7 linked regions of the Sus scrofa genome follow. The protein of the gene in region 3 purifies or fractionates together with the protein of the main gene of each other region. This does not show direct contact. Links are inferred from orthologs where the notes say so. Each region holds a gene or a part of one and is shown on either strand. Other genes may lie near its edges. The genes, in order: PBRM1, SMARCD2, ACTL6A, VPS72, ARID1A, SMARCD1 and DPF2.

Region 1 (3,500 bases), about 83 Mb from region 3:
TGCTGATATACTTTATTATTTCATAATACTAAATTACTCCATCACTCAAATACTTTTGGCTAAATATATACTTTTCATAAAAGAAAAATTGAGAATATCAAACCAGAGGAAAAAGAAGCACACAGGCCTTGCATCATAACTGCTTATCATCGGAGGAAGGGTAGCGAAGACAGAAGACAGAAACTGTGATCCAAGTTACTCACAGGGTCTACAGTCGGAAGACTGGAAAGTCTCCTCCTTTTCCTGCTTGGGCCTGGTGTGGACACAGAATGGTGCCCGTCATCAAAGTCCCCGCTGACACTACTGGAAGGGGAGGTAGCTCTTCTTCTCTTGGAACCCATGGAATCCAACTTCTTCTATAAGAAATAATTAGCCATGTTCTTATACTTAAGTTTATACTTTGCCACCAAGCCCTCAGCTGGCCACTGACTACCAAGCTTCTGGTTCACTTTGGAGGATATTTAAACTGTTGCAAAGAAGGTTAACTACTTTTTTTCAGGGCAAGTCCTAAATCTTGCTTTAGCCCCTTCGCTTACCAGAATGCTACACTTACTTGGATGGGACAAATTCAGCAAAAGTATACTCATTTGTACATTACCAATTTTGAAGGAATCAATCACTTCTAGCCTCAAATTTATTCTGGACTGGAGTTTGGAAAATGCAGTGGTACACCAGTGTGTTAAAGGTATTAATCCCTTAGTCTCTGAGGCAGTTAGGCAGGCCTCAGGGACAGAGACCCCAAGGTGGTCACCTCTGGAGTCAGCAACCTCATTTGTTTTCCCCCGTGTTTCTTACAATTATGATCAATCTCCAGATGGGCCAGGATGTGGGGGAAAACAAAAAACAAAAAACAAAAAAAACTGGAAGCAGACCTTGATGCAAATATGTAGTGCAAAAGGGTAGAGGAACAGAGGACTGGTTAACCTTCTAGCATTTCAGATATGCCCTAAATTAACACACTGAAAATTGAGTTTTCTCCATTCCTTAAAACACTTAACATGACTTACTGTACCTATGCTAAAGTAGCAAATCTGTGTTTTAAAACTTTTCTGTTAATCCAGACTAACTTCCTTTTCAGTTATGTGACGTACTCAGCTCTACTCTAAGGAACTCACAGCTTTATATTTTCAGTAGGTGATCTGGAAGACCACCTCAGAAGTGAACTTTTAGGTCCTCCTTGGCCTTTCAGAAATATGTAAATACTTGCTCTCGGTTTTAGTAAGGCTACTAAATAATATTAACACAACTTTACAGATACACATATTTGACTATAACACAAGAAATGCAACTACTGAAATGATCTGCTACAGCTAGAGGGAAAGGGTGTATACCCAAGAAAGTCCTACAAGGTTTATACAATTTAACAACATCAGGCAGTATATTATGATTTCAAAAGTCTTTCTCTAAAGCAAAAAGAAAAAAGTGATCCCAATGTCATTCATCAACATTCAATTTCAGGAAACTAAGACACTAACAGCTGAAAGAATGGGCTGCCAGTGGTATGGAGAGAAAAACTGGGTATCTCCAGGGAACAGAAAGCAGAAGCAAAACAAACCAACAAATAACAAATTCTGGTAACCAACTAAGAAACAAGAGGAGTTTCTTATCTCTTCCTCTGAACTGCAATCCACATGGTGTTTAAACACAGAGTCTAAAGTGATGATGTTCCTTCCTACGGGACTTGGTTTGTTATACAGTGTATTAGTTTGCAATTGGCCGAAGCTTCAAAGGACTTAGACCAAGGCCAGCCAAATATTGCTGATCTTTGTTTGCTTTATAAAAGGTTGACAAACTGGCCTTACTTCATTAAGATGAAGAAACTAAGGACCAGACTTCTGTAAACAGTCTATGACGAGGACACAAGTGAATTTGATGAACATAAGGTGGGACTCTTTATGAAGAGGATAACAAAATTTAAGAAAGGTGGAAGGGAAAAGGCAAGGAAGGACAGAAAAGGAAAAGGGTGTAGATGATCAGTAATTTACCAGCTTTACCAGAGCACAACCAGCGCCTCGAAAAGCCAGTCTCCTCATTATGTCTGAAGGCCAAGTGAAGCCAGGGGGAGAAGGCAGGGCTTTAGAAGTGCTGATTCAGTGTTAATATATTCAAAACTGAAAGAGAAGAACAAGGCAGAGAAAGGGGAAATAAAAAGAAGGGTCAGAAAGAGCAAAAATGAGTACGGATAGATAGAAAACATTCAAACAGAACTGCTAAAGAAAGATAAGAGAACTGAAGAAAACAGGCATATCAGTTCTGTTCTGCTAAGCAAACCACTGCAAAGGGGCAGGCACTAATAGTACGCTTCCATTGCTTCCATTTTTAAAACCAAATGCTTTTCACATGCTTAAAGATGTCTCACTGAGGCTCCCCTTTACTCACCTGGAATGACTGTCAATTCCAGGAATGAAGCATGCCTGTCCAACTGCCCCCCAGTCAATAAGAGCAGAGTTCAATTAGAGTTGGAATGAAGGGTGAACACATGTGGAAGGCTCACATGTGACACCAAATGTTAGCAAGCTGGAACAAACTAAGAATGGCTCATGTGAGCAAAGAGTCTGAAAACTCACCAAAAAAAATTCAGAGAAAGACATTTCTTTCCTAAAGTCCTAAGAGCATTGAAAGGATACCACATGCAACTTTGGAAAGGTTTAAAAAGGGGGGGGTGGAGTTCCCATTATGGCTCAGTGGTAACAAACCCAACTAGTATCCATGAGGATGTGGGTTCAATCCTTGGCCTTGCTCAGTAGCTGAGGGATCCAGCATTGCTGTGATCTGTGGTGTAGGTCGCAGACGAAGAGTTGGTTTGCTGTGGTGTGGGCCAGCAGCTGCAGCTCCAATCTGACCCCTAGCCTGGGAACTTCCATAGGTCTCAGGTGAGGCCCTAAAAAGACCAAAAAAAAAAAAAAAAAAGCCTTCAACCATGTGGCAGGAGATCAAAATTACTTTTGCAAATAATCCACTGAAAATCAAATGACAAAAAATGTAAATCACTGGGGTATATGTATATATAGTTTAGACCATACAACATCAAAAACTCCTTGAATCATTAATTTACTTTGGTAAGAAAAAAAAAGGTCCTTATTACCTAAGAATAATTTTCAAATCTCATCCAAAGAATACATTTTAAAATGTATTTTGGAAGTTTAGCAAGAAAGGAAATGTAGGAGGAGCAATAAGACCTGAGCTCAGAAGACAAGAGACCCAAGTCTTTCATCTCTATCCATTTGATGTTGCTTGAGTTACAACCTCTCAGATCTGTCTCTTCATTTCTAAAATGAGAACACTAGAGTGTACATACCTCCCTGAGATTGTCGTGACAGTGAGATGTACGTGAAATCACTTTGAAACTTCAAAGCACAACAAAAGTGTTAAGTTTTAACTCTAGGACTGCATGCTCCCTTGGACACAGGAACAGCATTTTTTTTTCTTTTTTATTTTTTTTAGGGCCACACTGGCGGCAGCATATGGAAGTTCCCAAGATAGGGGTCAAATTGGAGCTG
Region 2 (4,249 bases), on a different chromosome or scaffold from region 3:
CTTCAACAGGACTCTACCTCCACCATCTGGGACAGCAGGGGAGAGAGGCCAGCCCGATGTTGCTGCCTCCAGAGAGCATGCTCTGCCAGGGCTCAGAGCCTGTGGCCCTGGTGCTCCTGGTGGCTGGGCCTAAGGACCAAGGAGAAGAGAACATACCCCCACATACGTAGAAAATACTCTGAACTCTCTGGTGTGAACCCAGCAATCTGTGTTCTTGGGGGGGTTTGTTTTTCCCATTTTTTGTTTTCTTCAAGTTCCTTAGTAGACTGTGATCCACAGCTGGAAACACTGCGTGCAAGGAGCTGGGTCATCATTTCCCTTCTATCAACAAGATTGCCTATTTGCCCGCCGTGAGCTTGAGCGCCTTGCTCCCTGACTCACCTCGTGAGCCCCAACAGAGAGGTGCCCATTGCTCCTGAGATCTCAAGTCTCTTCTCCTGGAAGTCACATAAAGAACTTGAAAAGAGGCCAAGTAGGATCCTCTCTGCACTCAAGATGAGCTGCCTCCTCCTTCCCCCCATCTACCTTTACTGCCCCTCTGGTCCCTGGAAGAGAAGCAGGAGATGGGGAGAAGCCCACACAAGCAGAGGCTCAGTGCCTTCCTCAAGGTCTTGCTCCTGGTAGCCTGGGCTACCCAGCCAGCCAGCTCAGCCCTGCCACTTGCCCGAGGCCACCTGCTCAGGGGTTTTCCCCAGGCCACATTCCCCATGGGCTGCAGGTTGAGGAAAAGTGGAGGGGCTCCTATCTGCCCTTTAGATCCCTCCCAGGCCAACAGCCCAAAGGGAGGCACCTCAGCTAACTGGCCCAAGGGCCAGAATGACAGATGCAGGGACCCCTCCGTGACACCTTGGGCCAAGGGGGAGAGCAAGATGGGAAAGATGAATCCCAGCTGGAGCCGCTGGGACCAGGTCTGTCTCTATCAATACCCAGGCCCTAGGTTTTCTTTAGAGGGTGGAGGGAGAATGAGAAGTTAGAGGGAAAAATCACTGTCCCCAGTTAAGCATCTCTTTACAAAGTGAAGGCCCAGGGGTCCTGGGAGGATGTGTACCCTACTCTATGAGGATCCATTTGGGGGACCTCTACTGGAGACACGAGAATCTCCTAGCTTCCCTGAGAGATTAGCAAGAAGCCAGTGTCAAGTGCTGGGATACATGGATTGGGATACAGATGGCGTTGTGAGAACCTAAAAGGCTAATTAAAAGTGGGGATGGAGTTCCCGTTGTGGTGCACTGGAAGCGAATCCGAGTAGGAACCATGAGGTTGCAGGTTCAATCCCTGGCCTCACTCAGTGGGTTAAGGATCTGGCATTGCCATGAGTTGTGGTGTAGGTGGCAGACATGGTTCGGATCTGGCGTTGCTGCGGCTCTGATGTAGGCTGGCAGCTGCAGCTCTGCTTCGACCCCTAGCCTGGGAACCTCCATATGCCGCGGGTGCAGGCCTAAAAAGACAAAAGACAAAAAAAAAAAAAGTGGACAGAGGGTAGGAAAAGAATGGGCACAATTCCTAAGCATTCTGGGGCAACCAGAAACAATGAACTTGGGGGCTGGTAAGCCCCAACCCCAGGGTCAGGCTGAGTTCCTCACACACTGACCCCAAGAATGGAGTCTCTGCATCTCCATGGCCTTTGAAGCTGCAACCCAAGAAGCCCTCTGCAAAGCCAAGCACCAAAGAGGTAAGGACAGAACCCTTTGAAGCAACTCTCACAGGCTCCTCCAGCCCCAGACCAGCAAGGCTCACTGGAGCCTCTATGCTCCCCCAGACTAATCAACTCCTGGACACTGTGACACCAGGCAGAAAGCCAAAGAGAGTCTGTCCAGAATGGGCTGGGTTTCCCTCCTTTCTCAGGCCTAGCCACCACCCTCTCTGGTCTAACCCAGAGTCACCCCTGTGTGAAGGCCCCTGCGCATGACCCAGGAGTAGACTCCCCCTGCACAGGCTGGAATCGCTGGTCCTATCCTCCACCTCCTGTCGGTGGGAAGCCAGGCCCTTCTTCCTCCTCAGCAGCTGGGAGCCATCTCAGACACGCTAAAACTCTGCCAGTTCCCAACTAGAGAAAAAAGAGCAGCCTTGGAGTAGGACCAAGACCAATGTAGGGTAACCCTGGTTTCTCAGTGAGGGCCCTTTTCCAAAACTTTCTCATCACTTCCCAGGACCCCATTGCGGAGAATCTACACTAGACTTCTCAAGCCACCCGCCTACAATTCACTAGCTCCAACAACTCCTCCATCTCTCAGTTACTCAGAACCCCTGTTCCAAGACCTCACACCCTCCCAACAGCTTCAAACCCTTCACCCGAGAGTCGCTCTTACCTTCTCCCCTAACTCCTCCGCAACCACCTAGCCGAGCCCCAGAGTCCCTGGCTTTGCCCCGCACAGTGCCCCGTGAACTCCGCATGCAGAGCCCCTGTGCCCTCTGTCAGGAAGGCTGCTCCAGGACCCTCACTCGAGGCCTCTTTCGCCCCCTACCCGAGTGTGCTCGCGGCGCCGCCCGCCCCTCAGCCCTCCTCACCTGGTACTGTGCTGCGGGGCCCGCGGGGCCCATGGGGCGGAAGGCGGCGGCCCCCGGGCCCCCCACGCCTCCAGCCGGCCCCGGCCCCCTTAGCGCCGGTCCGGGCAGCATGCCGGGTCCCGCTGGCGGAGGCGGTGCTCCCAGGGCCGCGGCAACCGCGCCGCCGCCAGGGCTCAGCGGGGGCAACGGGAACCCGCCCGCGCCACGGCCCGACATCGCTCCGTCCCGTCCCGCGGTGTCTCAATCCGGGCTCCGGGCTCCGCGCTGAGTTCGCTCCGCGCTCCGCGGTCCGGGACTTTCCGATCTAAATTCCGGGTTCTGGGGTTTGTTGATCCGGGTTCCGGGATTTCCTAATCCAAGTTCGCGAGTTCCTCACAAACCCAGTTTGGGGCCGGGCCGGTCTTGATTCCGGTCCTGCCCGGGAAATTCCGGATCCGGGATCCGCTACGGGCCCGCTAGCCTTCGCCGGTCTCTGGAGGTTTCAACGCCAGCGTCCAGTTACCCAGAAGCTGCAGTTAACTCCCTCCCCCGCCTAACCCAGCCCAGCGCTAGGCCCCGCCTATACCCAGCTGGCCAATGCGAGGATGCCCCCTCAAATACCGCCCTCGCGAGACCCGCCCCCCTACAGGCACCGCCTCTAACCGCCGGTCCCCGGAGCCCCGCCCATACCCTTGGGCCGGCCCTCCACTGGAGGGGAGGGGGCGGAAGCAACTCAAGAAATGCAGAAGGTCAGAGGTCGAAGGTCACTAGCACTACTGTAGTAAACGGGTAGTTGCTGCTCTCTTCCCCCCTTGCGGCTGGTTCGCCGAGGTACCCAGCCTCGGTCCCTGAAAATAGTTGTCAGAGCTCCTTTCTACGTTTTAACATTACAGACAACTTAAAGCTGCTTTCTGCGGCAGAACAGCCGCCAGCGTGACTCTAAAAGCCCATCCTAGTGGCTCAGAGCTGTCAAGAGACTTGGCTGCTCCAGACCCTATGCAGCTGTGCGAAGAGTGGACTTGGCCAAGCGCCAAGTTTTTATCGCATATTTCGAACGTGCCTCTGCCTCACTTTAAGGAATTCTAATACTTTACTCCAGAGGAAATGTTTCTAGGAGAAGGAAGTTTGCATTATGAGAAACCCCTAAGTTAAATAAGGTCTTTCTCCAGGATTTAAAGCACTATTCAAAAACTTAATACCTTTTCGGAAATCAGATCTGTGTTAGCAGGTATGCAAAATAAAGCTGCTTCAGCTGTGCCAGGGAGCCCCTCTGACATTCTGGGATTTTTTTTCCCCATGATACAGACCAGTGCTTCTTTAAGGAGCATAAGAAACATCTGAGGCTTTTGTTAAAAATGCAGATTAAGTTTCAGTAGGCCTGGGTTCTAGGGTAGGCTCAAGATTCTGCATTCCTAACAAGCTCCTGAGCAATGCTGTTGTTACTCAGACTACACTTTTTAAGTATCCAAGATAGACTTTTTTACCATACAAATCCTCTCCTTTGTTTTCATCCCCAACCAAGACTTGCCCCACAGCGTTCCACATTTATAGAGCAACCATTTTTAGTCAGTTTTGCTCATCTGTACTTCCTGGTATCTTTCCTCCAGTGATAAACCCTGCTTTTGCTGCTGCTTTCCTGCCTCTTGGTCTTCTCAGGGATCCCTCTCCTCTTTCTCCCTAAAAGTGGGTTACCTGTCAGTCTGAGAAGACCACTAGAATTGTTCCAGTCATTGAACCAGGGCCCCTCTCTCCGGCTTGTAAA
Region 3 (3,500 bases):
CCTTCCCCTTGAGTTTATATTAAACTTATAACCCTATTGTCCTAGAAGTAGCACAACTGGCTAATTAAGTAGTTGAAATAAGGAATATTTTTCATAACTACCCAAGTTTTTTTTTGAACATGACTTTTTATACACCCTTAGTTTTAGCACTACGCTCCATGCAAATAAATTAACTCAAAAAGAATTCTGAGGCAGTACACTGGCTAAAAATTAAATCTAGGGTTTAAGTAATATGTAATCTAATAATTATATGGTATAAAATATGGAATTTGTCCTTAAAATTTGTCAAAGCACAAAAAATACGAAGGTAAGAAGATCTAAACTAAACTCCATGTTGGAAGTTCCCTTGTGGCACAGTGGAGCTGTGGCACAGGCTGCAACTGCAGGGCAGGTTCAATTCCTGGCCCAGGAAACTTCCCCGTGCTGCAGGTGCAGCCAAAAACAAACAAACAAAACCCCACTAAACTCCATGTAAAAGTTACAGAATTTAAACCACACCTTCCTGAAAAATAAAACTGAACTACACACATGAAAAATCACCAATAACATATTTTGGCTTGCCACATTCTGGAACAGCACTGTCCAAAAGAATTTTCTGTGATGACAGAAACGTTCTCTAGCAAGTAGCTATACTTATGACGTGGCTAGTGCAACTAAAGAAGTGAAACTTAAAATATTTAATTTGAAATTGCTACATGTGTCCAATAGTTACCACACTGGACACCACAGCTTTAAAATTACACATTTTTGGGACTTCCTGTCGTGGCTCAGTGGTAACGAACTCAACTAGTATCCATGAGGATGCAGGGTTGATCCCTGACCCTACACAGTGGTTTAAGGATCCAGTGTTGCCATGAGCTATGGTGTAAGTCACAGATGTGGTTCAGGTCCCGAGTTGCTGTGGCTATGGTGTAGGCTGGTGGCTACAGCTCCAGTTCAACTAGCCTGGGAACTTTCACATGCTGCGTGTGCAGCCCTAAAAAGACAAAAAAAAAAAAAAAAAAAAAAAAAAGAAAATTACACATTTTTCCTTTGCTAGGGACTTCATTTTTTTACATATTCTATTAGAAAATGGACTTCAAAGTCAATGGCCAAAGTTGCCAACTTAAATGATGGCAATTATAAATAACGGGGACACTGGTTTGCCCTGAAAGACAGCTTTATGCCATAAATAAAACTGGCACTTACTGGTCTGATATCAATATCGCACATTCCAACACTTGTAGTGACCACGTGACTGACACCCAACATTGTATTTCCTGATAATCCCTACAACAAAACAGAAACGAATAGTCACAAAGAAGAACTTCAAACAATAAAGCACATCCAAAAAAATTTAACCTTATTTAGGATTTATAATTACATAGAGATTTTTATAGGAAAAACCAAGCTAATTATGAAATAAGCTTTTATACCTTTACATTGGAAGGGTCAAATAATCCTTCAGGAATCTTTAACCGTTCTGCTCCAAAATCACAGTTGTAGCCATTGGGGAATTCATAATGAACAGTTGGCATCTGTGCAGCTACTCTAAAACATCAAACAATATTAAACAAAAGACAAAAGCAATCCTCTTAAGAATTATAAACTACTAAGGAATCAACAACAGGTAAGAAAGCAGAGTGAGAATCTTCTTTTAAAATGTTATTTAGTACTTCTTAACTTTTTACCTTTAGACCAGTTAAGCATACTCTACAATTTGTTTAACTAATCAATTTCTGTCCTAATTTATAAAGTATGCAGTTTTTTTTTTAATTGGAGTATAGCTGATTTACAATGCTGTGTTAATTTCTGGTGTACAAGAAAGTAATTCAATTATATATACACACAAACATATTATACAATTTTTAAAAAGATTAGTATGAAGGTTTTAATGAGCTCTTAAATTATAAGCCTCATAGAAAAAATAAGAAAACATACTGTTCATCATAAGTTGAATCTGATACTTGAAGTACTGACGCTTGAAAATCTTGGATAACACACTAAGGATTAAACAAAAAAAGAGTTAAGACACAAGGTTATTGAAATTTGTCTTTGCAATCTATATTTTTATAAACTTTTTTTTTTCTGCTCATGTCTGCAGAATGCAGAAGTTCCCAAGTCAGGAATTGAAGCTATGCCACAGCAGCAACTCAAGCCACAGAAGTGACAACACCAGATCTTTAAGCCACTGAGCCACCAGGGAACTCTGAAAAATATTATTTAAAAAAAAACTTTTCTTAATGAAACTGGACCACATACCTGGATGGCTAAATCATTTTGAGGGTATAAATCTACCCAGCAAGGTCTCTGAGCCTCAAGAAACCCAATTCTAAACACTCACATTACAAGCTAAATTGTATAACATTTAAATTGTAACCATCATCAGAGTTCCCGTTGTGGCACAGCAGAAACGAAATCCAACTAGTATCCATGAGGATATGGGTTCGATCCCTGGTCCTGGTTCAGTGGTAGGCAATCCAGCACTGCCATGAGCTGTCATGTAGGTTGCAGACGGGGCTTGAAACCTGCATTGCTGTGGCTCTGGTGTAGGCCAGCAGCTGTAGCTCTGATTTGACCCCTAGCCTGGGAACTTCCTTATGCTGCGGGTGTGGCGCTAAAAAGCAAAAATAAATAACCATCAGGGAAAAATGATGAGATAAAAAACAAGTGGGAATACTTGTACCATAGTCCTACATAACAACATTGGCTTTAGAACAGTTTTATCCTTTAAAATAAGCTTAGGGAGTTCCCATGTGGCTCAGTGGCTAAGGAACCTGACTAATATCCATGAGGATATGGGTTCAATCCCCAGCCTCTCTCAGTGGGTTAAGGATTCAGCATTGCTGTGAGCTGTGGTGTAGGTCACAGATGCGGCTGGGATCCGGCGTTGCTGTGGCTGTGGCGTAGACCAGCAAGCTACAACTCCAATTCAACCCCTAGCCTGGGAACCTCCAAATGCTGAGGGTGCAGCCCTAAAAAGCAAAAATAAATAAATTAATTAAATTAAATAAGCTTAGACTTAGCAAGATTTCATTAGCTGAATATATTTTAAAATATATATATATATATATATTGCATCTTCCGTAATTTTTTGACTGACATAGTATAAAACAGTCTAAAAGTTGTGAAATACATATGACCTCTGAGTTGCTAAGGAAAAATCTCGTTGATATTTAGGTAAAATTATTATTATTATTTTTCTTCTTTTTAGGGCCGCATCTTGCAGTATACAGAGGTTCCTGGGCTAGGGGTCAAATAGGAGCTGCAGCTGCCATCTGCAACCTACATCACAGCTTATGGCAACACCGGATCCTTTGACCCACTGAGTGAGGCTAGGGATCAAACCCACATCCTCATGGATACTAACTGGGTTCTTAACCCACTGAGCCATGATGGGAACTCCTAGGGAAATTATTAATAAGCTTCAAAATTTTTCCTTGTACCAACCCCCCCCCCAAAATACTTATCCTTAGGTGTAAAAAACTGTCAAATAGGATATATCCCTGCCATAGAAAATT
Region 4 (3,987 bases), on a different chromosome or scaffold from region 3:
TGGGCAGATCAAACAGCAGGAACAAAGGTGTAGAAGCAGGAATGCGTATAGCATGATTAGGGAATAAGGATTTGGACCTAAGTAAAGCAGGTTATCTCTGGCAAGAAGTTGTCCTAGCTGATTGTCTTTGGCGCTAGCACAGACAGCCTCCTTCCAACATTAACTGACTGCCCTGTAGGGCTACAAGATTAGAAAAGAAGGAAGTTGCCTCGGGGCCCAATGGGTCACGTTAGCTTTGCTGTGAGTTGTGATGTAGGCTGCAGACCAGGCTCAGATCTGGCGTTGCTATGGCTGTGGAGCAGGCTGGCAGCTACAGCTCGGATTCAACAGCTAGCCTGGGAACGTGCATATGCTGCAGGTGCAGCCTTAAAAAGGCAAAAAAAAGAAGAAAAAAAATCACTTGGAGGCGAAGGAGTTAATTGGGTGGGGCAGAACTTCAAACATGTGGCTTTCTCTTCAATCAATGATGAGACTAACGGGCTAATCTTGGTATACACACTGCCAAAACAAGCAAATAACAGACAGTTGACACTCCAAGCCTGTCAGCTTCAGTCTTGCACTGATGACCATCATTTCCTCCCAACTGATGTTTGTGAAAGACAGCCTGGGAACATGTTAATCCCCTTAGCTCTGACCCTACTAAGTCATATCACCAGAGGTAGCAGTTCAACTACACATTAGCTTAATGCCCAATTGAAATGCTTTCACTAAGTTATGGACTTACTACCATTCCTTTGGCTTTTATCAAGGGTCATTAATAGACATGACTAATCAAGAGACTGTTTTTACATCATCTACCAAACCCCTGTTACTTTATATATAAGGACGCAATTCTCCCTAGGATTTAATGTTGAATAAGTTTGTCTCTCTTAAAGAACTTGTATGCTTCTTTCCTACTGAAAAAAGAAATTCAGGGTTTGGCTGCCAGGAAGCTCACAGCTAAATTTAAAATCAATTGCTACTACCATTTTAGCTGAGGCTCTTGGTACAATTACTTCTGATCTGTCTCTATTTTTACTGTTCCTACTTTTTGTTTATATCGTAAGCCTCCTTAAATCCTTTTTGGAAGAAGGAAGGGTACATATTAAATAACAACTCGTAAAATGACAGGAATAGGAAAATGGCCTTTGGAGGAGGGATGGGAAAGTTCTATTTTAAACTACTTGCTTAGGGGGTTGTTGTGATGATTCCTAATCAGTCACCAAGTCCTGTGGATTCTATTTCTCCTTAATTTCTCCTGAACCCTCCTGATCATGTTTCTCTACTCCCGCTGCCTTCTTCAAATCCACAATACAGAGTGATCTTTATAAAGTACAAATCTGATCATAAAACTATGACAAATATTCTCAGTCCTCTGGATGAAGAGCAAAACTCCTTAACATGGCTCACAAGCCCTCCATGATCTGGCCCACGCCTACTCCCTCCAGCCTGACCAACCTTTATTCTCCTTCATGGTCTGGATAATGACAGTAGATATGCAGGTCCCTGACAAGGATCTCAGCGTTTTTATACATCTCTGCCCCACCCCCTCGCTGGACCAACCCTCCTCCTTCCCCTGCTCCTACTCCTACCACTATTCAGCCAGCCAAGGCCACTTTTCATATGGTCCTCAGCTTATCCTGATGCCTATCCCAAACAACTTTGGCTCCATGTGGAATTTAAACTGACTTAATTCAGCTAGTTCCCCCACTGGAATCTGGAATATGTCAGAACAAAATGGTGGGGTCTGTTTTTTGGTTTGTTTTCTTTTTGGCTGCGCTGGAGCCATGTGCAACTTCCCCACCAGGGACTGAACTGGTGCCAAAGGAGGTGACCCAAGCGGCAGCAGTGACACCATGCCCTTAACTGGCTGAGCCACAGAGGAACTCCCCAAAGTGGTGTTTTTAATACTCTGTTTCCCTAAAGCCTATCACAGTTCTTGGCTTGCTCTATGCGTTTAATATATTTGATGAACGGTTAGATTCAATCAATATAAAATTTAACAAGTGCCAACCCAATGAGGACACTGGACCAGGCATTGGACATGTGTACTGTTAAACAAAACAGATTATCTCTAACCTTAAAGCGCTTACAATCTGATAGAAAAGTATAAACAAGCCAGCAAAAGCTATTACAAATCGAAATAGGTTCTACGAAAGATATATAGGGAGAAACTTCTTAGCACAATCAAGGAAAGGCTATTTACCCAAGAGACATTTACACCGAGATCTGAAAGCTGAAAAAGGAGTATGCTAAGTGCCTCTATTTTTTCTTGAGAGAGATTTCTTTTCTATACTTGAGATGAATAACCAGGCAGTGGGCCAACGAGCATACACCGCGTGACTACGATGTGCTGTATGCTAGACGTCAGAAGTGCAATGAGAGATGCAGCTGGGGAAGTACACAGCAGGTTTCAGCCATCCAGGACTCTCCCTTCCAGGACTCCAGTTTATCCTCCAGTCTCGCCCACCCCATCTCGAGTATCAGCTACCAAGGATCCTCTCTTCCCCCACCCCCTTCTTTGTCCGAGGTTTCTCCCTTCAGGACTCCTTTCAGCTTCCTTCCCTCCCTCTTCCTGGGCCCGGCTCTTGCCTCAGTGAAACCCCCATAAGTCGTCTGGTAGAACTCATCTTCCTCCTCTGCCTCCAGGAGACCAGAAAGCCGGTTCCCTGCGGTCTTCCGGGGGGCCCGGCCCCCAGCCAAACTCATAGTGCCTACTCAGACTGCGCCACCACCAGCAACCCCTCACACAGCGCGGTCCTCAAGGATCGGCTCTCGACACCACTACCTGCGGGCGGCATGCGACGGCGGAAGCCGGTCATCTACAGGCAGAAGTAGCAGAGCGTCGAGAGATTCCTAGTCCCGCCCCCGAAATCTTCTCACGGCTTCAGCCCCGCCCACGCCTGCGCAGAGACTACCCCAAGCTCCCCGCCCCAGTTCCGGCGCCCATCTGGGCTGTGAAATACTTCGATTTGGTGACCCCCAGAAACCCCGCTACACTGAGTGCAGAAATCGGGAGCCAAGAAATTTTCATTTAGAAGAGGTCAGTCTCCCTCTGCTCCAGTTCGTTTTCCACTCTGCTGCCAGTAGGAACCTTTCTAAAAACCCAGATTTTGTCACACTTTTGCTCAAAAATCTTTAATGGCTCCTTCCTTGTCGACTTACAGGGTAAAGTCCAAATGTTTTTTAAATTTAGTTTTTAGTTTATATTGGATTATAGTTGATTTTCAATGTTGTGTTAATTTCAGGTGTACAGAAAAGTGATTCAGTTATACATATACCCATTCGTCTTTTTAAGTAAGTTGTTTTTTTTTTTTTTTTTGTCTTTTTGCGGTTTCTTGGGCCACTCCCGTGGCATATGGAGGTTCCCAGGCTAGGGGTCGAATCGGAGCCGTAGCTGCAGGCCTACGCCAGAGCCGCAGCAACGCGGATCCCAGCCGCTTCTGCAACCTACACCACAGCTCAGGGTAACGCCGGATCCTTAACCCACTGAACAAGGCCAGGGATCAAACTCGCAACTTCATGGTTCCCAGTCAGACTCGTTAACCACTGAGCCACAATGGGAACTCCTTAAGTAAAATTAAAAAAAAAAAAAAAAAATTCCCCCTTTTTCGGCAACCCGCATGACATGCAGAAGTTCCAGGACTAGGGATCAAATCCAAGCCAGAGCTTCGACCTACACAAAGCAACTTCTGATTATCTATTTTATTTTATTATTTTCTTTTCTTTCTTTCTTTCTTTTTAGGGCTGCACCCGCTGCATATCGAGGTTCCCAGGCTGGGGGTTGAATCAGCTACAGCTGCTGCCCTACACCACAGCCACAGCAATGCAGGATCTGAGCTGCATCTGTGACCTACACCACAGCTTAACCCACTGAGTGAGGCCAGCGATTGAACCCGAGTCCTCATGGATTCTAGCCGGGTTCGTTAACCGCTGAGCCAAGACGGGAACTCCTGATGTTTGTCCTTCTCTGCCTGAAAGTCCAAAATTCTTGTGGCGGAATAGTAG
Region 5 (3,500 bases), on a different chromosome or scaffold from region 3:
TCTCAGTACTGGGGGCCCATGGCTGCTGGCAAAGTACTGGCTCGAAAGGTATCAGAGAACAAGTGGGAGGAGATCATGTTGACCAGGGATGGCTTAATTCCCTGGTCGCTTAGCACTGTCTTTGTCAAGAAGATCCTAGGCCTTCCCAATCTTCCCCAGGCACCTGTACTCACCTGACTGAGGTTGAAAGTCATGATGCTGTTGTCATCGTACAGCAGGATGTTAATGGTGTCTAATGCCCATGTGCTCTCTGCCAGCAGCCCAGACTTGAGGGACATCATCACCCGCCATGCCTCCGGGGTTCCTGAAATAAACCTCCACGTCGTCCATCCACCAAGCCCAGGTTGGCAGGGGCCCTCCCACCCCAGAGCTGGCTCATCAGTCAGGCTACTCTGAAGAGAACACATGGTGAGAGGCAGTTCCCATCTGGGAGATGACACACATCTGCCCCTCAGGGCTTCTAAGCTCTCTTAGGACATCACTGTGTGGCGATTCCTTTAGTAAAGCCTGATATCAGATGATTTCTTCCTTACCCAAAGTTCTTGGACTCTCTTTTAGTCAACACTGGACCTGCTTTTAACTCATCCAGAACATCGGGATGGAGAGAGAACAATGAACAAGATGCAAAGGGGCAGATTCAGCAACCCAATCAAGGAGGTCTCCTTACCGATGTCTTTCATTGTAAGCCGCCTCCTCTGCTTCAACACAGGCTGTGTGGCTTCAACAGAGCCAGGTGGGAAGGTGATATCCCGCCGAATCATAGGGGGCTGCACAGGGGCAGGTGCTATGTGCGAGGCAGGTACTGGAGGACCTGCCTTCTGCATCTTCATCCCAGAGTGCAGGAAGGGAGACTTGCTAGGAGAGGTTCGGTTCTCCATTGGCCGGGGCAGGGGAGCGGGGCTGGATACCTGAGGAATGTGATTCTGCATGCTTGGTGGGGGCTGGTAATTAGATGGCGGGGGCCTCGTCATGGGGGGCACCGGGGCAGAAGGACCATATGGGGGCTGGCGTGTGCCATGGGAAGGCCATGGGCCTTCATGGTTGGCCCTCTGATCCGTGTGCAGCATTTCATCTGTTCGGTTCACGCCATGATAGGCAGGGCCTTGGGGGGCAGAGCCCGTGCTCTGCCTGTTGGCGTAATTATAGGTCATGTCATTACGCCCCTGCCACATGGTGCCTTGTTGAGCAACCTCAGCCGATGCCTGTATGGGGCCGCCCATCATCTGCGGTGGCATGTTTTGCTGGGCATTGGAGCCAGGGGGTGCTGAGACACGGTCTCGGCCAAACTGGAATGGAAACTGGTTCTGGGGGCCGCCTGCTGGTCGGCGCTCAGTAGCAGCAGTGGCAGTGGCAGGATAGGCGTTGCCATACTGGTTGTACACATCTTGCTGAGGGGAAGGCTGAGCAGCTTGTTGCTGGCTGGCAGGCTGGGGCTGGGCTGGGGGCAACTGCTGCTGCTGGGGCTGCCCCTGACCCGTGCTGTATGGCACGCTGTACATCTCCCCTTCATGCCGCTTGGCAGGAGGGCCGTATGTGCCATCCATTGGCCGCTTGTAATTCTAAGATAGGGACAAGCAGAGGGGAAATTAATACTCTGAACCCGGGGATAGGAGACCTACAGCTGACAAGATGGCTACATCAGACACGTACTGGGCTTACTTCTGCCCCTCTGAGAGAGGAGGGGACACAGATTCCATGGGAACAAAAGAATCACCTTTACACGTTATCTTTTGAAATTGTTTCTGAAAGTAAGAACCATTCTTTGTTCCCTCTGTCTCTCCCTTGCTCTACGTAGAAAAACGTAGCAAAGTTTAAAAATCAAAATAAGGCCTGTTTCTAACACTTGCAGAGAACTAGAGACTGGATTAGACTCCAAACAGGGAGAAGATTGAGGGCTTGGCTCTTTAGACAAAAATGGCTATTTGGGAAGAAGAACACCAAACCATCTCAAGTTTTTGACCAAGGTTTTCTAACTGGCTCTCAGAGGAACCAGTGTCATCCCACCCACTACCTTTCTCACCTGCTGCTGCTGCTGATACATTGTGGTCTGCTGGCTGGGGAAGGGGCTGCCGGAAGGGGTGCCTTGAGTGGAGAACTGATTGCCATAGGAATCATGTCTGCAGGAAGGAGAGAAACAGAGGATCAGGGTGGGATGGCGAAAAGCCTTAGCCACAGCAGCACCAAGACCAAGCTTCACTCACCGTTGCTGCTGCTGCTGTTGCTGCTGCTGTGGGGGGTAACGGCTAGGAGAATACATCCCCGAGTCTGGGGTGGAAGGCATGAGATTCGGCTGTGGGGCTCCAGTGCCCATGTTTCCCTCGGGTCCTATTCCAGGCTCCGTCCTAAAGAAAAAGCAGAGAAGCAGGTTGAGTCCGTGCTAGCCGTGGGGTCTGGGGTGGGACTGGAGTGGGGGCCATGCTTACCTCACTCTGTCATAAGGACCTCCATAGGGATAGTGCTGCCGAGGTCCCATCGCCACATTTCCCAGCCCAGGGCCGGCAGCTCGACTGTAGGGGTCCCCCATCCCGCCGTTGGGGCCCTGCCCTGAGGACATGAAGGGATCACTCCCTGGAGCTGAGAGCAAAAGGGAAGACAGTGAGCAAAGTGGTTGTTCAGCAGGCCTAACAACCTATACTTTGCTTGCCCCAAAGGCCAAGGACCTCTCAGAGCTCAGGTTTGTTCCAACTATTTTTCTGACAGGATTGAAACAGAGATCTAAAGAGGCATGTAAAGGGGTGACACGGTGAAGAGCAGGAAATAAAAAAGGAGGATGAAGGAGGGGGTTAGGTCCAGAAGTGCCTCATCTCAGAGGATGGTTCAATAGGAACCTTGAACCACTCTCAAGATATCCCCCCATCCCCTGGCCCTGTCCTGAAGGACACAAGGCCAACTGCAGTTGGTCACCTTTCCTCATGCTGCCATAAGGATCCTTATTTGGCTCGTAGGACATGCGCCCCATCATGTCAGAGGTATTCATACTGGGCTGGTACCCAGGGTTTGGAGTCATGGAATTCCGCTTCTGGAATGTGGGGTCACTTCCATCAGGAAAGGCATCCTGGATCCCGACTGAATTGCTCCTGCTCAAGAGTGAGGAAAGCTCATTAGACCCCAAACGAAGCTATTACTCCAATAACGCGAGGCACATGGGTTCACTGGTCGGGAGACCAGGGACCCCCTGAGCTGCACAGGAGCTCATGCACTTCGGGCCCAGGATTCCCCAAAGCACCTGCCCCTGCTCCTGGCCTCACCTCATGCCTGGCAATGGGGGGATCTGGCTGTGTGGTGTGGATGCTGGAGTTGGTGGCTTCAGGTCTCCTCCTTCTGCCATGGAACTGCTGGTTGACTGAGGTGTCTGTGGCCCCTGCATTGACCCTGATCCCGCTGTGGACAGAGATGCAGGGTAAGCAGGAAAGCGTTTAACCCTCACAGAAACACACAAATGTCCCAGAATCTCTATGAAAAAGATTGTTATGAGGCTAGAGCTGTCTGTCACCCTTCTC
Region 6 (4,114 bases), on a different chromosome or scaffold from region 3:
GAAAAGAAGGAGGCTCTGACACGAGCCCTGGTTCTCCTGAAAAATGCATTCATACTGGCTTGCCTGTGAACAGCTAAAAATAGAGAGCAAGAGAATATAAGGGAATGGCAGGTGAGCTTCCCCAAGGAGCTTCTGGGGTGTGAAGTCTGGGGGCTATCACCTGTCAGCTGATGTTCCCCATGAGGCAGCAAAGAGCCTGTCCGAGAGACCTCGCCCATGGAAACTGTGAAATGTCTCCAGTGGAAACTGGGAAGACGGCAATACTGCAGCGGGAATCAAGGACCTCAAGGACTCTGGGAGGAAAGCAGGGCCTCAAATGCTAAGTGCAAACTCACTTGGTTTAAAAAACAAAAACAAAACCAGAACAACCCTAACTGGAAAATCTGCAGATACTGCCAAATCCAAGGGCTAGCAGCATCAGGAGGGAGACAAACAACAAATCAAATCCCAGGGCAATACGGTTCTCCATACGATACCACAGAGAGAGCCAGGCTGTGGGAGCCAGACACAAAGAACCATTGTCTTTTAGCGCAGGGAACACAGTGACCCTCTCCCTGCTGTTCCCAACAGGAGCTGTGAGCACCAGTCAGGCTTCCTGCCAACCAGACAATACTGCTTGTTCCCAGCAGCTCCCACCCTAGATGCTGACCACAGTGGACCTTGAACTCACATCCTCCAGGAGGCGTCCTTCTACCCGAAGCTCCCAGGAAGCCACCGTCCCTTCCCCATCCTCGGCATCTGACTTAGCCGGATTGAAAGTGTTAGAAATGAAAATTCGCAGCTTCCGTTTTTGCTGAGGAAGGCAGAAACAGGATTGACAGTGGGGCTTCAGTGGTTTCACGCTGAAGACCAGGGTCTCCCCAAACCCCAAAACGTCTCCTAACAGACTGGCTTACTATTTACCCAGGCCCTGGGGTGGGTGGACGGAGATTCCACCTAGAAGAGCACAGGCCACTGGCCCAAATGCAAGTGCATGCACTGGGGTGCCAGGTAGACAAAGTCATGCGAGGTGCCAGGTTCCCAAGGTGACAGAGCAGTTATAGCAAAAACACCAACAGAGTATATTTCTGGTGCAAGAACTACCAAAAGCCCCTCCCCCTGAGCTGTTCTGTTCTTATGCTTCTAATGTAATTCTCGGTTTGTAGGCGGAAGGGAGAGATGTAATTTAAATGCCAAGGAGAGCGGCGCTATGCCTTTGATTTCTCATCCTTAGCCTGCTGAAGGTTCCCGAGTCCTCTCCTTTGGCTCTCTGCCTAGCACTCTCCTGCGTTACCTTGATGGGACGCTTCAAGGCCTCCTGGATATCTAGCCGTTTCCTCATGATAGTCTGGTCCAGTTTCCTTTCAAAAGCCAAGAGATCCATATAGGCCTGGGATTCTGGTACCAGTTCACGAATCTGAGGAACAGAAAGGTATCATTGGGATCTAGAGCTGGCCATCTCTCTTCTCCAACTCAACACACCCTCAAGAAGACCTATACAGCCTGGACTCACCCTTTGAGGTAGAATTTTGTCAGCCATCTTCTTTTTCTTTGCACTGTTTGGAATAAATACTGTTATCAGGTTGGGATGGAACTAGCCAGAACATGAAGACAGGCTGTCAGCACCTCCATTTATAGTCAAGAGAAAGAACCGCAAAGCTTCTCTCAAATCAAAGACACCCCCCACCCCCACCAAACACGAAACAGTCTCCACTGTCTGCTGACACAGCGTCGTCACTTCTTGCTTGAGGTACTCCCACCACCTGTGTCCGCCCTCCCGCTCTCCACCCTGGGGTCATCTTACTTGTGGTTCCGATTTTGGACCGCCTGTTGCTGGACCTGCTGGATCTGCTGAGGTGCAGGTCTCTTGCGGGACTGGTCCATCCCTGACTGGGCCAGGCCAGGTCGGACTGAAGGGTTCCCCCCATAGCCAGGGGGTCCCATGGAAGGTCCCTGAGGTGTCATTCGGCTGCCTGGTAGCATACCTGGTCTCTACAGAGGGGAGAGGACCCAGAGATGTCATGGCTTCCCTTGCAAACCCCACCAGGAAAGGGAAAGTGGGGGAAGCCTGAGTTCTCTGAATCGAACCAGGCTGGGGGCATGGGGGGTGGGAGAAGACCCCTCTACCTCTTTGAAATATAGATCACTGGAGCTTCCTCTGCTCCACTTGTGATCCCACAGGGGACTCCAGCCCAAAGCTAAGAGAGCAGATTATACTCAAATTCTCCCCAGTCTAGTTTGTATCTGCCATTGGACATCTCCTCTGCTCCCAGTACTCAGACAGCACAGCCAGCTACCATCTCCTCAAAAGCTGACCTCAATTTGCCAGGTACACCTTCTGTGCTCCTCTGGGCACTGGAGCTGCCTAAGCCTTTTTGCACTCCAACTCTCACAAGCCCACCCTTGGCCCCGCTTCGTTCACCCTGGTTCTACACCCCGACTCCCCAAGGAAACAATGCCCCTACGAGCTGGTGGGGATGCTAACCGCCTCCCCTCCCTTCCGCGCACTGCCTCCCCCGACCCTCCCTCGCGAACCGAATCCCTCCCAGGGGAGTCCCTCCTACTCCTCCCCCCACCCCGTCACTCCCAGGCCCCCGCTCGGCCCCGCCCCCGGCCCGCGCGCCCCTCCTCCTGCCCCACTCACCGGATAGGCCGCTCCGGGCATCGGGGAGCGGTACAGCCCTTGACCCGGCGCCGGGCCCATTCGCACCGGAGGCCCCGGAGTCCCGCCCGGGCCCAGGGCAGCCGCCGCGCCCGCCCCGCCTGAAGCTCCGGCGCCGCCACTCGGAGCCACAGACTGGAAACCCGCCCGGGCCGCCATCTTTCCCGGAGCCGCTGCTGCAGCTGCACAAAGAACCGGAACCGGAACTCCCCCCGCCCCCGCGCGCCCCCAGCGCGCCCGCCTGTCCGCCCGGCCGGCCCGCCGGCACGGGAGGCCCAGGGCAGCGAGACTGTGGGCTAGAGGGGGGCGACGAGCGGAAAAAGCGTGCTGACCACTCCCTCCAGCCTTCGCGGTCCGGCAGGGAACACCATCGAGAAGAGCTCTGGGATAGAGAGGCCCGTGAGCGGGCGCCCCCAGGCCGGCGGGAGGAAGACAAGGACCTGGAAAGGGGGACCACAGCACCGTCCCAAAGCTCTGATGAAGAGGGTGATGGAGTAACTGCTTCATCTGGGCGCAGGGCGTTTTAACTTTCCAAAGCGCGTGTTTCTTTTCCTTCTCCTCCGGCTCTAAGCCCAGGAGCCGAAGAGGAGGACGCACCTTTCCATTTTGCAAACAGGAGAGGTGAACTCGAGAGGAAATGACTCGGTGTAGTCAACCAGCAAGTTAACGCGAAAGCCAAGGCTTAGAATCCAGGTCTGGCTCATAGCCCAGGGCTCATGCCACAGATAAAGTGCCTCAATAACTACCTAATGCTAGAACTTCAACCCAGCCTTTCCCCTGACCTTTAACCTAACCTGCTTCCAGATTTTAAGTATATTTTGAAGTTTGACCCCACGCCGTCTCCAAAGCCTCCTTTGTACTAGGATTTCTCTTTGGGATCTTTGTTAACCTTTGATCTCTTCCTCTTTCCCTGCCCAGTGGTTCAAACCATTTCTGGTGTGATGGTCAGCTTGTCCCATCCCAGGACCAGCGTATCCCTGCTCTGGCTCCCTTACTCCTCCCCTGATTGGCCCCAATCCAAGGTCAGCTCTTAGTAGGAAGTCCTACATACTATTCAAATAAGAGAAGAACGACACTGAAGAGGAGATGGTTGAAACCCAGTTTATTAGACCAGAGACATGCGTCACCCATAGCCCTGCCTGCTGTTCCCCATCTGGTGCACACCCTTTGGCCTTGCTCCTGCTTCCCTCTGGAGAGGTCTGATCTCCTAGGAGTTCCCAGGAACCCAGAGTTCCCAAAGATCCTACAGCCTCACCCTGCAGCTCCAGGTCAATGCACAGGTGACCTGCCACAGGTCTTGTTCTGGGGGTGGAGACTGAGAGACAGCTGGGCAGAGAAGGCCTGGGAAGAGGCAGCGCTCTGGCCTGAGGGGAGCGCCTGGTGGAGGAGGCACGGCAGGTCCTTGGCCTCACAGGTTTCTCATTAAAGTAGGAAGGGAGGGACAGAACGGCAGAGTTTTAACTTCCCCTCTAG
Region 7 (3,500 bases), on a different chromosome or scaffold from region 3:
CACCTCAGCTTACATTTCTGCTCCTCAGACCTCTGGGAAACCGGGGTGGGTGGCTGCGAGTCCTCCTTGTCCTCGCCCTCCTCCTCAGCCAGGTGGGAATGGGCATAGTGGTAGCTGAGGCCTGGTCGGTTCTTGTAACGTTTTCCGCAAACTGAGTGGGTTAAAGATCACAGAGAACGGTGTTAGGACGTGAGAGGGCCATATCCCTGCCCCACTAAGCTGGGAGCTCTACCTGAGGCAAAGGTAACCACCCCCATCAGCTCTGTTCAGGGACAGGCCTTCAGTGGGAGCTGCCTCCCCCTGGCCAGGAACCTCAGGTCCTGGGGCTCTCTGGCTTGCATGGCTCTTTTTACTAACCCCAGCCCAAGGCCATCTCTACTCTTCTGCACAGGCTCTTAGGAAGGCTGAGCCCTTGCCCCATCACCACTTGCCCTGGGAATAGTCTGGGGAGCTCCAAGTCAGGAAGGAAAGGGAATTTCTATAGCCTTGCAATATGGCAGGACAGACAGAGGGAGGAGGGACTCCAAACTTGTTTACCTCTCAGTAAATGCGGGAGGTTCACACTACCCCATATACACCACAGCCCATCTCTGCCCAATGTGGATAAACGAGCAGGGGGTGGACCTCTTGGGGGATCACCTATCAACTAATCTGCTGGAGTAGTTATTCCCCAAAGAAACTCAAAGACACCCCCACATCAGTGCCCCACCCAACCTCACCAACCAGCAAGAAAGCAGATCCCCATGAGGCATCTCGTACTCTTGAGCAGTGATACCAAAAAGAGCAAGGGGGCAGCAGAAAAGGGACGAGGAAGGGATGGGTGGAGGAGGTGGCGGATGGCAGGGAACATTAGCTGACCACCATGTGTCTGTTTTGGGGAAGGGGCAGCAGAGGGATCTGTTTGTAATGCGTTCTTTACAACGCTTTTGAAGCCACCCCATGCAGTGGGCCCGAGCAGCCCTAGGAGCAAGTCTGTGGGAGACAAGCAGTGGTAAAGGCAGCTTCCAGGGCTGTGAGGAGTGGAGCACAACAGAAGGCCCACTGCTCCTATCCGCATGCCATTCCACAGTTTAAAACCAGCATCACAGATGAGAAAGGCAGGAACAAGGGAGGTGGGACAAGGGATAGGAAAACCAAAAGTCTGAAAAGTTGAGAGAGCTACCTCTCTGGGGCGCTTTCGAGGTATGCTTTTGTTTGAAACTATCTGAAAGACAGAAAGAAAAGTCATGAGAAGAAGGCCTTGATACACTCGAGACAGGTGCGGCAGCAGCAGGAAAGCAGAGCAAACGAGAGAGAAACCTCAGCGGCGATGGTGCTCCCAGGGTAGAGGGACAGAAGTGGGGCGAGTCAGAGAAAAGGGGGAGAGAGAACAGACATTGAAAAAGTCGGTGTTGGACTCCTGGGGCTCTGGTTCGACTAAGGCAAGCAGACCTGAATGCCATTTATTGAGGCCAACCCTGCCTGCTGGGTGTGCCCCCTATTGGCACCCCCACCCCAGAGGACAGCAGACATCTCCCCCAGAACATGCAGGGCCCACCCGTCGTGTAGCAGAAGCCAGCACCCCTCAGGGATCTCAGAGGGAACCAGTCAGGGGCAGGACAAGAGTCCAGGCTTGTTTTACCATTCTGAGCAAGAACACAACCTTCCCTCCTCTCATATCCCGAGGAGCTGGGTCCAAGGCAAGGACTACCCACCCACTCGCGAGGCACTCACTGTCACAGGCATAGGGTTTGTCCCGATCCTCCAGGATGGAAGCGTCCAGCTTCTTACGGGCACTGCCCACACCTTTACCCTGTGAAAAAAGAGTAAAAAGATGGCTTTAACTAAGGTATCTCAGCCTAAAGAGTTAAGACTCACCTGGAAGCGGCTGCGAATCTCACTCAAGAGGGAAAATGACAACAGGTAATAAAACTGTGGGAAAACAGTAAGCAATAAATCCCCACTCCCTCAGGCTGGAGGCCGCACCCTGGCCCCTCACCTTGGACTTCCCCTTGCCCCGACGCTTGGGAGTGTCTTCTTCATAGTCCTCATCATCGAGGTCATCCAGGAAGTCATCCGGTTCTAGGATCCGCTGAGTGGACAAGAGGATTAGGACAGGCAGAAATAAGGTACTCCCAAAAGCTCCCCGACAACGGGGAGCCAAGGCTGCCCAGAACCTCCTCTGTTTTAGTTCTTCTCTTCCCCCCCGGCCGTACCACATGAAGAAGTTCCCAGGGGAGTTCCCGTCATGGCACAGTGGTTAACGAATCTAATATCCACGAGGAACCGGGTTCCATCCCTGGCCTTGCTCAGTGGGTTAAGGATCCAGCACTGCAGCTGGCCAGCAGCTGCAGCTCCAATTTGACCCCTAGCCTGGAAACTCCCATATGCCATAGGTACAGCAAAAATAAAATAAAAATAGGCGTTCCCGTTGTGGCTCAGCAATAATGAACCTAACTAGCAACCATGAGGATGTGAGCTCAGTGAGTTAAGGATCTGGCGTTGCCGTAAGCTGTAGTGTAGGTTGCAGATGTGGCTTGGATCCCGTGTTGCTGTGGCTGTGGCACAGGCTGGTGGCTACAGCTCCAATTTGACCCTCAGCCTGAGAACCTCCATATGCCAAGCGTGTGGCCCTAAAAAGACAAAAAAAAAAAAAAAAAAAGTTCCCAGGGATCAAACTTGTGCCACAGCAGCGACCTGAGCTACTGCAGTAACAATGCTGATCCTTACTGTACTGACCCACAAGGGAACTCCCAGAACCTCCTCTGTGACCTGGTCCCTTCCCTCCAGCCTCACTGCTGTTCTTTCAATGTTCTGGGTTCTCCTTCCTCTGGGCCTCTCTTCATGTTGTTCCCCTAACTTAGAATGCCTTTCCTACCATCTCCAAGTAGCCAAATCAAATGCCATGTTTTCATAAAACTTTCCCTGATACCCAAGGTAGCCATGCCCTCTCCTGCCTGTGGACTGCCACCCTGGAAGCATGTTATCAGTGGTTCCCTCTGACACTTCATTTCCTACATTTAAATTAGAGCTTTGCTGCTTCCTTGTGGGAAGCTACTTTTTTTTTTTTAAACTCTGCTTCAGCCTCCTTCTACATGTTTTGTTTCTTTTTCACAGCTGCACCTGCGGCATAAGGAAGGTCTCAGGCTATGGGTCAAATCAGAGCTGGAGCTGCTGGCCTATAGCATCGAGGGATCTGAGCCATATCTGTGACCTATGCCACAGCTTGTGGCAACACTGGATCCTTAACCCACTGAATGAGGCCAGGGATTGACCCTTCATCCTCACAAAGACTAACTGGGTTCTTAACCTGCTGAGACAGCAGGAACTCCAGCCTCCATATATGTGAAATGGGGTTGTAGAGACTGGAGAGAAGGATGGAAAAGTATTTAGTACAGCACCTGGAATATTTTTAGCTCTCATTATTTTTATGTATAGTTCTATCTTCCTTGTTGGTAAGCACCAAAAAACCTTGGTGACAAAAGAAGACCAATCAATGCCAGAGTTCCCGTTGTGGTGCA

Evidence for each region.
Region 1: the proteins of ACTL6A (region 3) and PBRM1 fractionate together in Homo sapiens (co-fractionation; 4 studies listed by BioGRID and IntAct, with this or other methods). This does not show direct contact. The link is inferred for Sus scrofa from reciprocal best matches to the Homo sapiens genes ACTL6A and PBRM1.
Region 2: the proteins of ACTL6A (region 3) and SMARCD2 fractionate together in Homo sapiens (co-fractionation; 5 studies listed by BioGRID and IntAct, with this or other methods). This does not show direct contact. The link is inferred for Sus scrofa from reciprocal best matches to the Homo sapiens genes ACTL6A and SMARCD2.
Region 4: the proteins of ACTL6A (region 3) and VPS72 purify together in Homo sapiens (affinity purification with mass spectrometry; 3 studies listed by BioGRID and IntAct, with this or other methods). This does not show direct contact. The link is inferred for Sus scrofa from reciprocal best matches to the Homo sapiens genes ACTL6A and VPS72.
Region 5: the proteins of ACTL6A (region 3) and ARID1A purify together in Homo sapiens (affinity purification with mass spectrometry; 5 studies listed by BioGRID and IntAct, with this or other methods). This does not show direct contact. The link is inferred for Sus scrofa from reciprocal best matches to the Homo sapiens genes ACTL6A and ARID1A.
Region 6: the proteins of ACTL6A (region 3) and SMARCD1 purify together in Homo sapiens (affinity purification with mass spectrometry; 8 studies listed by BioGRID and IntAct, with this or other methods). This does not show direct contact. The link is inferred for Sus scrofa from reciprocal best matches to the Homo sapiens genes ACTL6A and SMARCD1.
Region 7: the proteins of ACTL6A (region 3) and DPF2 purify together in Homo sapiens (affinity purification with mass spectrometry; 5 studies listed by BioGRID and IntAct, counting the BioPlex papers as one, with this or other methods). This does not show direct contact. The link is inferred for Sus scrofa from reciprocal best matches to the Homo sapiens genes ACTL6A and DPF2.

Annotation. Positions count from the first base shown.
Region 1 is NC_010455.5:34,814,618-34,818,117, forward strand, and holds part of PBRM1 (protein polybromo-1), read right to left. Parts: intron 2,112-3,500; exon of another isoform or gene 2,034-2,111; coding exon of another isoform or gene 1,986-2,033; intron 357-1,985; coding exon 204-356; intron 1-203. UniProt on the Homo sapiens protein: Involved in transcriptional activation and repression of select genes by chromatin remodeling (alteration of DNA-nucleosome topology). Required for the stability of the SWI/SNF chromatin remodeling complex SWI/SNF-B (PBAF).
Region 2 is NC_010454.4:15,090,477-15,094,725, reverse strand, and holds the start of SMARCD2 (SWI/SNF-related matrix-associated actin-dependent regulator of chromatin subfamily D member 2), read right to left. Parts: upstream 2,801-4,249; 5' UTR 2,725-2,800; coding exon 2,509-2,724; intron 1-2,508. UniProt on the Homo sapiens protein: Involved in transcriptional activation and repression of select genes by chromatin remodeling (alteration of DNA-nucleosome topology).
Region 3 is NC_010455.5:117,618,915-117,622,414, reverse strand, and holds part of ACTL6A (actin-like protein 6A), read right to left. Parts: intron 1,983-3,500; coding exon 1,921-1,982; intron 1,531-1,920; coding exon 1,416-1,530; intron 1,270-1,415; coding exon 1,189-1,269; intron 1-1,188.
Region 4 is NC_010446.5:98,061,074-98,065,060, reverse strand, and holds the start of VPS72 (vacuolar protein sorting-associated protein 72 homolog), read right to left. Parts: upstream 2,801-3,987; 5' UTR 2,689-2,800; coding exon 2,572-2,688; intron 1-2,571. UniProt on the Homo sapiens protein: Deposition-and-exchange histone chaperone specific for H2AZ1, specifically chaperones H2AZ1 and deposits it into nucleosomes.
Region 5 is NC_010448.4:84,115,729-84,119,228, reverse strand, and holds part of ARID1A (AT-rich interactive domain-containing protein 1A), read right to left. Parts: intron 3,382-3,500; coding exon 3,249-3,381; intron 3,081-3,248; coding exon 2,905-3,080; intron 2,575-2,904; coding exon 2,424-2,574; intron 2,343-2,423; coding exon 2,202-2,342; intron 2,118-2,201; coding exon 2,021-2,117; intron 1,560-2,020; coding exon 668-1,559; intron 305-667; coding exon 174-304; intron 1-173. UniProt on the Homo sapiens protein: Involved in transcriptional activation and repression of select genes by chromatin remodeling (alteration of DNA-nucleosome topology).
Region 6 is NC_010447.5:15,991,493-15,995,606, reverse strand, and holds the start of SMARCD1 (SWI/SNF-related matrix-associated actin-dependent regulator of chromatin subfamily D member 1), read right to left. Parts: upstream 2,801-4,114; coding exon 2,624-2,800; intron 1,972-2,623; coding exon 1,784-1,971; intron 1,536-1,783; coding exon 1,493-1,535; intron 1,397-1,492; coding exon 1,274-1,396; intron 794-1,273; coding exon 671-793; intron 1-670. UniProt on the Homo sapiens protein: Involved in transcriptional activation and repression of select genes by chromatin remodeling (alteration of DNA-nucleosome topology).
Region 7 is NC_010444.4:6,876,499-6,879,998, forward strand, and holds part of DPF2 (zinc finger protein ubi-d4), read right to left. Parts: intron 2,072-3,500; coding exon 1,979-2,071; intron 1,793-1,978; coding exon 1,714-1,792; intron 1,205-1,713; coding exon of another isoform or gene 1,163-1,204; intron 152-1,162; coding exon 14-151; intron 1-13. UniProt on the Homo sapiens protein: Plays an active role in transcriptional regulation by binding modified histones H3 and H4. Is a negative regulator of myeloid differentiation of hematopoietic progenitor cells. Might also have a role in the development and maturation of lymphoid cells.